Linked DNA regions of Tamandua tetradactyla. The protein of the gene in region 1 binds, or shares a complex with, the protein of each later gene. Links are inferred from orthologs where the notes say so. Each region holds a gene or a part of one and is shown in the gene's direction. Other genes may lie near its edges.

Region 1 (8,011 bases):
GCAGAAGATAGGTCTTCACCTCACTGCAGTGGAGCAGCTGTGCCACGTCAGGTCTTAGAGAGGGTGTAGTACATCTCCTGGAGATTTGGGACAGCCAGGGTGCCATCATATGGAGGGGTTGAGTGTGTGCCCCAGAGATGGCAGAGAGCCTAGGTGCAGCCCCAACGCATGGAGAGGGTGGAGCCGAGAAAAAGGTGATATCCCCAGTGGAGAGAGGTGGGCCACTGTGAAGGTCTTTGGAGAGGGTGGACCGACACTTTCTAAAGCCCCGAACATAAATATACTCTCAGACTTTGAAAATCTAATAGCGTTTGCCATGCAGGTTTTAAAAACTGCTTGGGTCCAGCGACCCCTATGTTCCTTCCAATTCCTCCCTATGGAAATGGGCTTATGTATCCTATGACTGTCCCTCTTTTGTAAATTGACAGCAAATAACTTGTTCTGAGTTTTATAGGTCCACAGCCAGCAGAGAAAATTTTGCCTTAAGACTGTTCATGTCTGTAGCTGATTTTGATGAGACTTTGTACTGGTTTTAACCTTGTACTGTATGTGTAATGTTACTGAAATGGTTTAAGGTTCTCTGATATTGTTATGGAATGAATCTATTTTATATATGGGGAAAACATGTCTTTTTTAGCATTCAGAGGGTAGAATGCGCTGGTTTGAAAAGATTTATGTACCCTAGAAAAGCCATGTTTTAATTCTAATCAATCTTGTGGGAGGCAACTGTTTCTTCTAATCCATATTCAGCACTACAGATCGGAAACCTGATTAGATTATCTCCACGGAGACGTGACTCAATCAATTGTGGGTTTTAAAGCATGATTAGATGGAGATGTATCCCCACCCATTCTATGAGGGTCTTGATTAGTTTGCTGAAATCCTTTAAAAGAGGAAACATTTTGTAGAGAGAGTCCCTTTTGAGAATGAGGAGAGAACCACAGAAAGGTACAGCAGAGCCAAGCAGAGCCACGAGGCTGAGAGTCCATGCTGCAAGAGACATTTGGAGATGAAGAAGGAAAATGCCCAGGGGGAGCTCCATGAAACAAACCAGGAGAGAAAGCTGAGAGACTTCACCTTTCTGCTAAGAGAGAAACCCTGAACTTCATTGGTCTTTCTTGAGTGAAGGTAACCTCTTATTGGTGCCTTAGTTTGGACATTTTTATAGACTTGCTTTAATTGGGACATTTCCTTGGTCTTAGAACTGTAAACTACCAACTTATTAAGTTTCCTTTTTTAAAAGCAAAAAAGCAAAACAAAAAAACCCAACAACAACACAATTTCTTAATTTCTTGACAATGCTATAGCATAAATCTAACTGATCTCCCAACCTCCATGTTCAGACGTTCACAGCTCATCCTCCAAATCAGACCCCAAATACTTTTTAATATAAACCGAAAATATCCTCAAAAAATAAAAGCTCCTTTTTGTCATAATCATATTCTCATACAAAGACATAGTTCTGTAGGGTTTAAAACACTGATAGTTCATACCATGGATACTCCTCTGCAGTTATCCACAGTTCTGCACAGTGACTGCAAATATATCACTCCTGGACTTACATGTCCCAAGGTTGGTAAACATGGAGACATGCCATCCTTATTTCCCTTCAAGAAGGGACTGCTGCTCACCTGTGGGGAATGGGGTAAGCTAGCAGGGAGGAACAGGGATTGCATGGAAAACAATGCAAACAAACAAACAAACAAAAATTCTGTTTTGAAGAAAATAGACGTGATGTTTATGGTAGAGAAACTGGGGAGGTATGGGGAAGAGAAAGAGATTACTTTAGGAGTGTTGGGTACTCAGAGATGACATATGAGTTGAGACTTGAAAGAAGTCAATAATAAAAGACAAAGTGCTCCAGATAATGACAATGTGTATAAGCTGAGGCTGGAACCAGCTTCAAGTGCTCATAATGTGCACTTTGTTTCCAACTTTAGTATCCAGCATTGTACTTGGCACTAAACTAAACTAATTCTGAAAAACTGTGATGCTTGGAAAAGTTTAAATCTGTACCACCAGAGCTATACATTTATATTCACATGGTACCTAGTTTGATGAGATGCAGGAGTTGCTCGGAGGGCGCGCACACAGACTGAGGCTTGATTTCATTGATGAGGCCATTAGCAATGCTGATGTAGCCGTCATAGAGCAGCTGGCTAATGATCAGCTTGTAGAGTTGCTGGCGGTCCTTCAGGCCCACCTTGGTTCTATACATCTTGGAGAAGAGGAAGATAATTCTTCCTGTCAGCTGCAAGAAGAGATAAGAGGTAGATGGTGAAGGGGAGAGGCACTAGTAAATCACAGACACAGTAAATCAGACTTGTGGAGCTAAAATCCTAGCTCTACTATCTGCATTACCTTTGGTTAGTGTCCTCATTTCTCCAAACTTCAGCTATTAAATAAGTTACTGAAGGTTAAACGAGAAGGTACACAGAGAACATTGCACACAGTACCTGGTACACAGAAGGTATTCAAGTCATGTTAGCTGAAATTTACAGCAGACTCTCTCTTCATCAACTTATTCTTCCCCTTTTCTTTTCGGCCAAAGTTACCCACCTAAAAATTTATTCTTTATGGCTATCCCAGAATCTTTTATTTCTTCTGTTAATAAAAACACTGACTGTTGTTGTCAACAGGTAAGACAGCTGCTATTCCCTTGAAATATCTAGGAACTACTATTTCTACCAGCTTAGCCACATGCTTAAATTCATTCCTAAAATCTGTTTCATGACAACTGGGCTTATTGCAATTATATAATTTAAACCAGAGTATCAGGGCAAAAAGCTATTATTTCCATGAAAATGAAAGCAAACTGAATGCTTTGAAATGACTCAAGTGAACTGCTTAATATACTATTGGCATATAAGATACAGACAAAACAACTAAAAAATGGAAAAATTGTAAAAATCTGGAAGGACTGCACACCCTGATTGATTCACAAGTGTCTAAGTTCTCCTTCAAGCTAAAAAGAAAAACAAACAATAGAGTTAACAGTGGTACCTACTGGTATTCCTGTACATTAACAGGAGTGACTGGGGAGAAGGGAGAAGGTAGGGGTATCAAGCACGTTTTCTAACTACATAGTCCCCTCTGGAGAACCACTGAAATTACTGATCCTAGTAACAGCCAGCATTTACAACATCTTTACCATGTTTTTCAAGTTTTACTTTATTTAATCCTCAAACCATCCTATAATGGAGGTCCTGTAATCTTGTTTACAGATGAAGGGGGAATATAATTTTGCCAAAGATCTCACTAATAGTGTCTGGAGGAACCAGGACTAGGATGTAGGTGGTTTGACTCTAGAGTCTGTGTTGCTTCTAACTACTAGGTTGTAGTGTGCCCTAAAAACTTAATAATAAAGGCTAATAGTCACTAGACATTTAACACAGTATATAAAACACACTGTGGAAGCAACTTATGTGCATTAACTCATTCACACCTCATCCAGTATTATTTTAGAAATAAGCAAACTGAGGCCCAGAGTGGTTAATTAATTCACTCAGGATTAAATAGCTGTGAATGTCAGAGACTAGATTCCAACCCAGGCAATGTGGTCCCTGAGCCTGAGTTCTTACGCACCATATTACACTGACGAGTGTTTATGTAACATTTATGGAGCACTTCCTACGTGCCAGACACTGTGCTAAGCACTTTACAGTGAAGCTCATTGGACGGAATCAATAAATGCATGCAAATCTACGCATGTAGGAGCAAATGCTCTTAAGTCTATCTGCCGAGAACAGTGGGACACAATAGAGATGATGAAACGGGCTCAGAGAAATTAGGAAACCTACTCAAGGTAAAGTGTGCCTGGGTAACTCATCTGAGGTTACGTGGTCGTCAGGACGGTCCACTCCAAAGTCCAGAACTTAACCACCACTCCAACCTGTCTCTTCACTTCTGTCTGGGGCATCGTGAGATGTACAGGGACAATGAGAAAGTAAAAGAGAGGGCGAGACTCCGCTTCTCAACTCCTTTAGAATGTTCACTCGCCAGGCTGTAGGAGCCTCTTAATCACCACCCCTAATTTGCAGGGGAGAACACTGAGGCCCGAGGACAGGAATAACCCTACTCAGGACCGGTTACACAGGAAAGGGAGATCAGGACGCCCCTTCTGCACACGGCGCAACCATCCCAACGCAGAAGTTTATAAGGATGGGGTGGCGTGGGGCTGGGAGGTAGGCCCTCCAAAGGGGTGCGCAGGCCCAGCCCGGCAGCCCAGGAGCACTGACTCAGGGCGCACGCCTCCCCGCTCACTCTCGACCATTCCCACCTCGACCCAGTCCTTCCCGTGGGCCTCTGCAGACCCCAGCGGACAGAACCCGCTCCTGCCGGCGCATCCCGGGCTCCCTTACCCGCTGATCCGGCTCTCGCGGTCTCCCGCTCTCTCCCAGAAAAATGGAGGCGCGAATCTTGCCCGATCGATCGCTCGAAGCGCAAGTTCACTGCGCACGCGCAAAGGGCATAAAGCCGAGTACCGCGCTATCCATCGCTCCCACCCCCTCTCCGGCCCTCCTCGCCATCTGACTTACTGGCACGTTCAAGAGGTTCGGTTACCTGCTCCGACTTTATCTCCTGTACGACAGCCCCGATGCTAGAGGCTGCTCTCTTACGGGCAAATTTCCGATCCGGAGAGCACCACTGGCGATAGAACGTTCACGGGTTTGGTGGGTCGTTGGGGCCCCCTCTTCCGGGGCCCTTCGAGGCAAGTGCGCCTGCGCTTCGTCTCTACCTTCTCCTATGACTCAAGACAGCGAGTTCGTTGTTGACCAATCAAAAGGCAGCCTTCCTTCTAGCCTAGGCCAATCAGCGTCCGGAGTAGAGGGTTTAACTTGCATTTAAAAAGAAGAACCTTTGACTCTTAACGGCTGAGCTCTCTGTAGGACTCGGCTCCGTGGGTTCGAGACGGTGTCCGACGTGTGCGTGGACCAGTGGGGTCAGGTTTATGTGGCGGGTGTGAGGCCTGGGTGAGGGGCGGCTGATCCGGGCGGCCTACGAGCGGGTAGTGGGATCTGGCTGGAGCAGAGCCGAGCGGGCGATGGGGCTGCGGGGCGGGAGAGAAAGAATCAGCGCGAGAGGTCCTCCCTCCCTGCCGACTACGTGCCTCTGCGGCCTCATCTGTGCTCCATCTACTCGTGGGTTCCGAGGGGCTCTGTGAAGGTTGCTTATGGTTAACGCTAGAGGCAGATGGGGTTGTTGGGTGGCATTGGGGAAGGCTTTCTGCATGGATTCTCATATTCAGTGGGCACCTAGGTAAGGAAACCTCAGAGAAACTTCCGCTGTCTAGGAGTTTACTTTGGAGGAACGGGGAGAGAGACAGCAAACTAAACATGATTTCCAATTGTGACGAGTATTATGCAGGATGTAAAACAGTAGTATGGTTTAAAGGGGGCTACGTTAGATAGAATAGTCCGGGAAGGCGCTTTCCTGGCTGGATAAATGAATGGATGGATGAATGAATGAATGAATGAATGAATGGATGAATGAATGATAACCTCTACGCAGAGGCCTTCCGGAGCCCGTGCTTATCAAATCCTGGCCCTTGGACTCACCCATATCAGGATTACTTGGGGGTCCTTGTTAAAAACACAGACCCACGGCAGGTGGAATGAATCAGACTATTTTGGCGATAAAACCCAGGTGTCTACGTTTAACAAGGTCTCCAAGTGGTTCTGATATTTACTTCCAACACCTACCAGCCATCTGGGGATGTTGCTAAATGCAGAGTTTGTTAGGTCTGCGTTGAACCTGAGATCCTCAATTTCTAACAAACGTTCAGTCTTGACTTTTAATCATGTCTCCTCCTCAGGGTTCCTTGTTCCTTGAACTAAATGTTTTCAGAAGACACTCAGTTCCTCTCCACTCAGCCTCTTGGCAGATATTTGCAGGTTTCCTGTGGTGGGGGGAGGAGGGACAACTTTTTTATCCTAAACTCACAGGGCTATTAAATCTAACAGTTTTTCTGTTTAGAATTGCAGGATCTCTGTTTAATGGATTTTGAAAAGGCCATTTAGTTATGCAGTTTCCAAATCGCTGTAGATCAGAATCGCCTCAGGGGCTTTTTCCTGGGGACCCTCCCTGGATTTTCCGAATCAAAATCTTATTCCATTCTGTTTATTGTTCATCTTCCTGAGACAGAAACTATAAATAAATTCAATATGAAAAGAAAAAATTGGGATAAACATTGATAGCTTTGGTCAGAAGACTGTTGAATAAATATTATGAGGCTTATGTGCTCTCACAGTATTCTGCTACTAGGAATTGTTGGGAAAGTGAAAGTAATAGAGCAAGTTTAGAAAATAATGGTGCATAAAGTAGGCATGTATTTCCTCTTCTGTTTTTAGTTTATTTTTATCAACCAACTAAGGACTCTAGGTTCTTTAGTCCTGGCTCTGTCTTATGGAGTTATTTGCTTATTTTTGAAATGGATGTAGAAGCATTGAGGGTGGGGAAATCCTTTCTGATTAGATTTTAGTAGTCACAGAGCACCTGGGTAAGAAGAATACTGGTAGATTTCTGCTGTCTTGGTGTTTGTTTTACCTACTTGATAGTGTGGTGCCTGACTCATAGTATGGGCTTACAAAGTGTTTTAATAAACTATTTTTATTATTGATTTGCTTTAATTTATTCCCAGAACATTCATTGCCTACACTATGTGCTGTTCTAGGTTTCTTGGGCACAGTGGTGAGTAAAATGTGACTAAGCAAGCCCTCGCTCTTGTGGAATTTACTTTCTAGTGAGGGACACAGACAGTATATAAATATGCATATACTTTGTGTATGATGCTAAGGGCTATGAAGAAAAATAAGATAGAGATGGTTCTGGAAGGGGACATTTGAACAGAGAATAGCATGAAATGAAGGCGCAAGTGATGCATTTGGGGTAAGATCCTGATGGAGGAAAGAGCAAGTACAAAGGCCCTGTGGCAGGGGACCTTTTTGAGAAAAGATATACTGTGTGTCTGGTGTGCAGTGGACAGGAAGGAGGAGTGTGAGACTAGGTCAGAGAGATGGTCAAGGTTCACATTTTGTGGGACTTCATTGGTCTGTCCTTACCAGTTGGAACCTGTATTTCATTGAGTTGGGAAGCCATGAAAGTTTTGTGAATGAAGGATTGACATCTGACTTAACAGGATCACTGGCTGCAGTGTTGAGAATGGGTAATAGTGGGGCAGAATGAGAGGAGGAAAATCATTGGGAGCCAGTTGCAAATAGTCCAGGGAGGGAGGACTGTGGTCTTACCAGGTGGTGGTGGTAGAGGTCATATTCTGAGGGGATATCTGAGAACAAGAATGGGGAGGTGGAGATGGGAAGGATCGTGAGTTCACCTTGGGACATGTTAACATCGACCCCTTAGATAATCAGATGGAGATGCGAAAGTGGTAGGATATTTATATCTGGACTGGAGATGGAAATTTGGGAATTTTCCACCTATGGATATTATGCACAGCCAATAGACCAGATGAGCTCTCCTGGAGAGTGAGTATAGGAAAAGAGAAATGGTTTGGGAAAGAGACCAGCACACTCCCATGAGTAGAGAGTGGATAAAGAAGTTTGGAGGAGAGAAGAGGTTCCATTTTTGATGTATTAAGATTTTGATGCCTTTCATACCTTTCTGTGGGGTCCAGAGCAGGTGGTTGGATCTTTTGAGTCTGGTGGTCAGAGGAGAGATTAGGCCAGAAGAGGTTAATTCGAGGTATCCTGATAAAGATGTTCAGAGCAATGGCATTGGGTGAGGGTCCCTAGGAAATGGTTGTAGATGGAGAAGTGGGGGTGGGGATCCAAAGACTCATTCCTATATTATCTCAGGCATTTTCAGAGTGGAAAAGAGGGTGAGAGTGGACAGCTAGTGAGGTAGGAGACAAATCTGGAAGGTAAGTGAAGAAAGATGTTCAGGAAGAAATGATCAACCTTATCAAATGCTGCCTAGAACGCAACATAAAATGAGGGTGGAGAATTGACTGTTTGGCTTGGTAACAATAGGGGTCAGTCATGAACTCAGCGAC
Region 2 (6,968 bases), on another chromosome or scaffold:
TCCCCCCTGCCCAGCCCCCAGGACTCTGTGCCTCCCCCACATCCCCCCAGACTGGCCCCCAGCGCCCCGTGCCTCCCCCACATCCCTCCTGCCCAGCCCCCAGGACTCTGTGCCTCCCCCACACACCCCCAGCCTGGCCCCCTGTGCCCCAGAGCCCCGTACCCACCCCCATCCCCCTGCCCGGCCCCCACCCCTGCGGCTTTACCGGATGTCGAAGGCCCTCACGTGGGGGTGGGCGCTGGCCACGCGGATTGTGAGGAACTGCACGGGCAGGTTGGAGTCTGGTGAGAGCTCATGCTGCCGCGACCCGGTCACGGTCAGGTGCACGTCCTGCTGCTGGGCCACATGGACCCGGTAGGTAGTCACCTTCATCACCCAGGTGTCCGTCACGACAACCCGGGCGCCCGGGGCCCCAGTGGCAAACTTGTCGATGCGCCGGAATTCGGTGTTGACGGAGGCAGCGACATCCCGCCAGCCCGAGTGCGGGAGAGCGTACAGCGCCAGGGTGCAGGCCAGCGGGTGCCGGGCCCAGCGGTTGCGGGCCCAGTGGCAGATCACAGCGCAGGCCGCAGCAGGCAAGGTCAGCGCCAGCAGGAGGAAGAGTCTCCAGGCCTCTGGGGCCCGGCCAGGGGCGTACAGCCACTCCTCTGAAGCAGCAAAGCACATGCCCACATAGTAGCCTAAAGGACGAGGCGGGCATCAGCGGGTACAGGGCTGGCCAGGCCATGCCCACCTTCCTACGGGGTCCCTGTGCCCAGCCCTGGTCAGCTCCCAGGGCAAGGCTGAGGGCAGTGGGCCTCTCTGCCTCTCACCTCTGTGGCCAGGCCTAGCTCAGCCTTTGCTCACAGCAGCGGCACGATAAGTTAGAAAAAAATGCTTTTAATTTACTTCAGTTTTACATAAACAATATCCAAGCACAAGAGAAAAAAGAGAAATCCAGAAAAGCAAAAACAAATGTGATGGCCTGGCTTCGTCTTCCACCCAAATACGATGGCTGGCATGGGCCCAGCTAGGATGAGCTCCAGAAAACTGCTGGGAGCCTCAGCGACTCTCCCCAGGGAAAGAGCTCTCTGGGGACCACACCCCTGAGCCCCAAAGAAGCAGGCTGAGGGCCCAGGCACTGTGAGCTCCCCAGGATCTGGCAGGTGGGGCTCAGGCCGAGGGAGTGTAGCTCCAGTTTGCACGGTCTCCCAGCTGCCTCCTGCTTTGTGTCTCTCTCCTGGTCTGGCTGAGGATGGGGGAGGTCACACACCCCACAGGGACTCAGGGGCAGAAAGGGGTGGGAGGCAGCAAGCCTGGGGCTTCCTTTCTACCAGGCACCCACACACCCCTGCTGCTGCCTCCAGACCCAGGAGCCCTCTCGGCCCAGCCTCGTTCTCCCAAGTCCCCCACTCCTGCCTCGACCTCCCACCAGACCTGGTTCTGCTCATGTCCTTGGACCCTGCACGTCTCGGGAGGCCCCCTGCCTGGCACCCCAGCACAGTCCCCTGGCCCTCTGGCCCATCCTTTCCCCGGCTGGTGCAGCAGCCTTGTGGAGGCCCAGGCTGCCTTGGGTCCCTGCCAAGCACCACCCGTCCCCTCAGCTGACAACGCTGGCGTTTCCGGTCTGGGACCAGGAATCTCTCAACCCCCATCTCTGCCTGCTCTCCCTGTACCCATCTTCCAAGGCCAAGAACAACTCCACCTTCTCGAGGGAACCCTCCAACCCAACTCTTCCGATGGACTCAGCTAGTACTATGGGTTCCCAGAAGCCCTTCACCTGGAACTGCCCCCACATACAAACAGCAGATGCCCACGGCCACATGGGACCCCCAGCAGCAGCGGCAGTTCACGGTCTGTCCCAGGCAGGGCCAAAGCACCCTCTCCCCACAGCAATGCTGGGGCTTCTGCCACTTGCAAGCTGTGCAGCTCTTCAGCTGCTCCCGGCCAGACAGATGCCTTTCTCCGGCCCTCGGAGCAGGGCCCTGCAGGGCAGACCCCACTTGCTCCCCCTGCCGCAAGGACTGAGGCCAGTGAGTCTGGCTTCTTAGGGGGCACGGCCACCTCTCCCAGCACAGGGTCCACCGTGGGGGGATGACCTGGGGCACTCCACCCAGCACAACGCTGTCCTGTCCGGGATTGCCGCACAACCAACTCCTCCTCAGTGAGGACCAAGCCCTGGCCAAGAAGACGAGCGGACGCAGCGACACGACTTGAGGCCTTCCTCCCCCACCCTATGCGTGCAAGCCTTCACCGGCAGCCAGGAGAGCCGCAGGACCCGAGGCTCCGAGTCCCCAGGCCTCACGCCTTCCTCTGCACCCGCCCCACGCTGCCCTCCCAACTCCAACGCCCAAGAGGGAGACAGCCACCCTGGTGAAGCCACGTTAGGGCCTTGGGTACCCGCCCCCCAACGTGTCCCCAGGATGTGCTCAACGTACAGGTCTACAGCCCAGGACTGGTACAGGCAGGCTGAGCCCCCAACCTGCGCCCTCCCCACACCGGCCAGGCTGACCTGACCCTAAGCAGGACACCAAGGACCTGTGCAGGGAGAGTAGGGCTGACCCCAAGACTCAGAGCCTATCGACAGAATTGGCCAAACACTGCTCAGCCAGTCCAGGGCAGTGTGCCTGGAACCCTGGGGGGTTGTGCGGTTACAGCCCCAACCCAGGCCAAGCACCCTGCCACCAAGAGGGCCCACTGGTGAGCAGCACCTCAACTTGGAAGGGCCGTAGTGGCCCGAGGTGCCTGTTGGACCATGGCCGGGACTAGAGCCTGCTAGTGACTCTCCATCTCAGGGCATTCCCAGCGACTGGTGGCACAGCAGCCAGGCAGGCCCGGGAGTCGGTGGGGTTGGGATCTGGGGGCTTCGGTAGGCACAAAGTGTCTTGGCCGTAAAGGGGGTCTCCACGGGAATGGGGTCTGGAGGGGTGGGATGCGGTCTGGGGCAGAAACAGGAACCTCAATAGGATGGGTCTCAGGCAGAGATGGGGTGTATCAGATAGAAACAGGGTCTTCAGCGAGGACTGGGTGTCTCTGAGAGGATCTCACTGGGGAGAGGGATCTGGGTGGGGAAGCGGTTCTAGGTGGAGACAGATAGGGACCTCAAGCGGGGACCTCAAGCAGGGACCTGTGTGGGGCGGGGATGGAGGGGGTGTCTCTCGGGTGGGGATGCTCTCGGGGGGTCCCGGGTCTGCGTGGGCCCCCGGCCCGCCTCACCGAGCGGCAGCAGTGAGTGGCACAGCAGCGTGGCGGCCGTGCGGCGCAGGTGGTAGGACACGAAGGCGGCGTCCTCGCTGCCCAGCCAGCCCGACAGCAGGTTCTGCACGGTGAGCCCGGCCGAGTGGAACTCGTTGGGCGTGAACACGAAGCACACGGCGAAGACCAGGTAGGCCAGGGTGAAGGTGACCTCGGGGCTGTCCATCGTGCCGCCGCCGGGAAGCCGCTCGAGAGAGGCTCGCCGGTCCCACCTCCGGCCCCGGCGCGGGGAAGAGGCGCGAGCGTCCCGGCCCCGGCCCGGAGCGCTGGACGAGGCCGCCGCTGGCCGGTCGCGGGGCGCTCTGGGAAATGGAGTTCCGATCCCGCCGGCCGCGGGGCACTCTGGGAGGCGGAGTCCCGGCCGCGGGGCGCTCTGGGAGGCGGAGTCCCGGCCGCGGGGCGCTCTGGGAGGCCGAGTCCCGGCCGCGGGGCGCTCTGGGAAGCGGAGTCCCCGAGCCCGGCCCAAAGGCGCAGGCCGCCCGCACGTTCTCCGCGAGGATGCAGCCCCTCCCCGCGACCTGCCGTGGAAGAGGCGCTACAACTGGCCCCATTTCACAGCTGAGAAAACTGAAGACCGAGCAAACGGCTCCCAGATCGCCCCCGTCCGCTGCGCATGCGAGTCTCCGCCCCATCCGGCCCAGGATCGAAGCGCCCCCTCGCCCGGAAGTGGAACGCGTGCGCGAGGGGCGGGGCCGGCGCGGCGCGGCCTTCCATTGGCTACTGACTGCCCCCGGCGCGCTCTGACTGGCTGCGCGGAGTCAACCGTCGGTATTTGAATCGGCGGGCGCGGCGGACTTAGCGGCCTGAGTGGGTTTCCGGCGGCGGCGCGGCTCCTCCCTGTACTCCCCTCTCTTCTCCCGGCCGCGACGGGGCGGGTCCGGAGCTCGGCGGACAGGTAGGCGGCCGCCGCCCCTCGGCTCGACCCAGTCTACGCCCTCCCAGGCCCCGGGCCTCTGCCGGGTCGGCCCCGCCGCCTGCGACCTCGGGGGAGTCAGGCTGGCTGAGGCGACCTGGGGGTGGGCGAGCGCGGACTGGGCAGCGGCGGCTCCCACAGCCCTGCCCCTCCCCAGGCGCGGCCCCCCCGGCACCTGGACCCTCCCCTCCGGTCCCCACCCGCCCCCCCCCGGCCCGCGGCCGCACTCGGCTGGCGGAAGCAGGGGTGGGAGGGACCTGCCGGGGCTGGGGAGCGTCCCCCGCTGCTCCCTCGAGGACCCCACCTGCTCTCCGCCCGCGGCGGGCCCCGCGCGGCCACCCGCGAGCAGCCTTCGTCCCTCCAGCTCCTGCCCGCTTCTCTGGCCCCCTCTGCGGCAGCGCTTCCCCAGTCGCTGCTGCCAGCACTGCCTCTCCAGCTCCTGCTCGCTCTCTGGCCCGCTCCAATCAGGCTTTTGCCACCGCGTCTCAGAGACACTTCCTCACCTTGTCTCCAGCGGACCGCGTGCTGGCGCATCCCACCCGGGTCTCGGTCCTTGTCCTGCCAAGCCCACCGGCTTGTTCCTCTCCGGAACGCTCTTTTCACCGGTGCCCCGCTCCTCTGGGTCTCCTTTGCACCTCTCCCTTCCCCACCTCCACGCAGTCGGCCCCCGGGTGCAGCCACAGGCCTCGCCTCGCTCCAGCTTTATCCCCAGTGGTGGCCACCACCCGGACCCAGTCCCTGGCTGGCACAGGACCCCGCAGTAACTACTTCTCTGGACTAGCACAGCTTCTAACTGCAGGTTCCAGATGCCCCTGTGGCTCCCCAGACACCCTCCCTACACCCCCACAGTTCAGCTCCCCCGCACCCATTAACCCAGGCTAGACTCGGAGAATCATCTGTGACTTTTCCCTGCCCTCATGTGTCCACGTAGACCCACTGACCAAGCCCAGGCCCAGCCTTGTCTCCTGGACACCTTGACTGCTTCTGGTTGCCTGTGTTCCCTCTTCCCCCTCACAGCCCCTCTGCTATGTAACAGAAGGGTCTTCTGAAGCCCAGCAGTGATATTGCCCGACCCCATGCCCCCTCATGTCCCACGTGGTGGACCCCACTCTCCTCCAACCACGCTTCCAGGCTACTCCTTGCCCCTCTGCTCAGCCACCCTGGCCTTCTTGTTCTTCAGAATGCAGCCCATCCTGCATTCTGGACTGGTGGCTGCCTCATCGGACCTTTCTCTGGTTCCACTCTTCTCCACCACCACACTCAACTCTAGCAACACCTACCTTAGGAACGCCCTCAGGGCCTGGGAGCAGCAAAGGCCCATTGTGGAACTTGCTGAACCTGACTTGAGGCCCCTTAGCAAGGCTCCTTAGCAATTTACCAGATCCTTCTGGACAGCCTCCTGGGCTTCAGGCCCCTCTGCTGACCCTCGCCTGCCCTCCCCCCTTTCCAGCCAGGGGCAGGGGAGCACGAACTATGGCTCACTGTTCAGCATTTCTCTTCTCTGCTGACTTGACACCTGGGCTCTGTCCCCTAAGCTGAGACACAAAACCCCCACACCCCACACAGCCTAGGCTGCACCCTGTTTCTTGACCACCTGAGTCAGGCTCTGGGGAGACTAAGGCAGCCTCAGCTGTGAATATTCTCCCAGGCCAGTACTTGGTCTTCTAACTTATTACCTAACAAAACAGCCCAGGATCACAGGTGATTCCACAAGCTCAGTCTTCCTCTTCTCTCCGGTTGAAGGCCCTCTGGGCTCTCGGTCTCGTGGGAGTCAAGGCCTCCTGAGACCAGACGGGGACCCTCCAGCGCTCCTGCCCAGCTCACCAAGGACATGCTGTGGGAGGCTGGGTTGGGCAGGCAGCCACGCCTGGCCCAGAAAGGGGACAACCTGTATCACACCCCTGTCTGGATGTGCTGCACCAGTCTTGTTGCCCCCGTGCTGACAGAGGCGTGGTCTGCTTTTCCAGAATGAGTCTGCAGATCTTAAATGATGAAAACGTCACTTGTGACAAAGCCACCGAAATTTGTGACTTCCTCTTTTCACCCCCGGAACTAACCGGAAAGTCGTCTGTCCTTCGTCTGTCACAGAAAGAAAATGTGCCACCCAAGAGCATAGCCAGAGCTATGAAGGCAAGTCAGTCCATCCCCACGGAGTGTGGCCTGTGCCCCCAGGCTGGCATGCTGCTACCACCGAGTCCTGCTGATGGCCGAGAATCATTTAACAGGCATGTGTTCCTTCTCGCTCCCCTGTAGGTAACTTTTCAAACGCCTCTGCGGGATCCACAGACACACAGGATTTTAAGTCCTAGTATGACCAGTAAACTAGAAGCTCCTTTTACTCTGGACGAGACTGTTGGATTGGCAAACTCTCACCGTGACTGGACACAAAGAGATGAGTAAGTGTTGGCCTGTTGTGTGCTGTGGCTCTAACACCATCGACGGGCCTTTGCAGGTGTTTATACGGTGCCCGGGTATGGGGCTTCCGAAGCCCTCTACTTGTGGGAAAGTTAACGGTCAGGTGTTTGGATTGAGTTCAGATTCCATTCTTTCCTCCTGCGATGTGTCTTTGCCAGGTGCTGGGCCTCTGCTCTCATTTCTCCAACTCCTTACGCAGTCCTGAGCCTCTCCCCAGGGAAGCTGTGTTTCTCCTCATCTCCTGTCTCTGCTTGTGACTCAATTCTTGCATGGTCTACACTGAGACATTATTCTTAAAAGGGGCGGGGCTGTGCTTTATATGATCTGTTGGGCGAAGTAAGAGTGAGCTAGGGGTTGGAGTTGAGTCCTGAGGGGTTGAGTTTATTTTAATCAGAGGAAGCTTCTT

The links. Proteins that work in one complex are often made in the same cells at the same time.
Region 2: the proteins of AURKA (region 1) and TACC3 are in contact, whole or in part, in a crystal structure (PDB 5ODT), measured with the Homo sapiens proteins. The link is inferred for Tamandua tetradactyla from reciprocal best matches to the Homo sapiens genes AURKA and TACC3. Residues at the interface, in NP_001310232.1 of Homo sapiens: Leu130, Phe133, Glu134, Ile135, Gly136, Arg137, Tyr148, Leu149, Ala150, Arg151, Ile158, Val163, Arg205, Tyr207; in NP_001428248.1 of Homo sapiens: Glu523, Ser524, Phe525, Arg526, Pro528, Val531, Leu532, Gly533.

What each region holds. Positions count from the first base shown.
Region 1 is NC_135327.1:28,991,267-28,999,277, forward strand, and holds the start of AURKA (aurora kinase A), read left to right. Parts: upstream 1-4,953; 5' UTR 4,954-5,044; coding exon 5,045-5,141; intron 5,142-5,147; exon of another isoform or gene 5,148-5,259; intron 5,260-8,011. Other genes in the region: CSTF1 (cleavage stimulation factor subunit 1), read right to left, coding at 2,050-2,218. UniProt on the Homo sapiens protein: Mitotic serine/threonine kinase that contributes to the regulation of cell cycle progression.
Region 2 is NC_135345.1:1,405,127-1,412,094, forward strand, and holds the start of TACC3 (transforming acidic coiled-coil-containing protein 3), read left to right. Parts: upstream 1-3,968; 5' UTR 3,969-4,129; intron 4,130-6,114; 5' UTR 6,115-6,115; coding exon 6,116-6,277; intron 6,278-6,400; coding exon 6,401-6,543; intron 6,544-6,968. Other genes in the region: TMEM129 (E3 ubiquitin-protein ligase TM129), read right to left, coding at 206-680, 3,196-3,400. UniProt on the Homo sapiens protein: Plays a role in the microtubule-dependent coupling of the nucleus and the centrosome. Involved in the processes that regulate centrosome-mediated interkinetic nuclear migration (INM) of neural progenitors.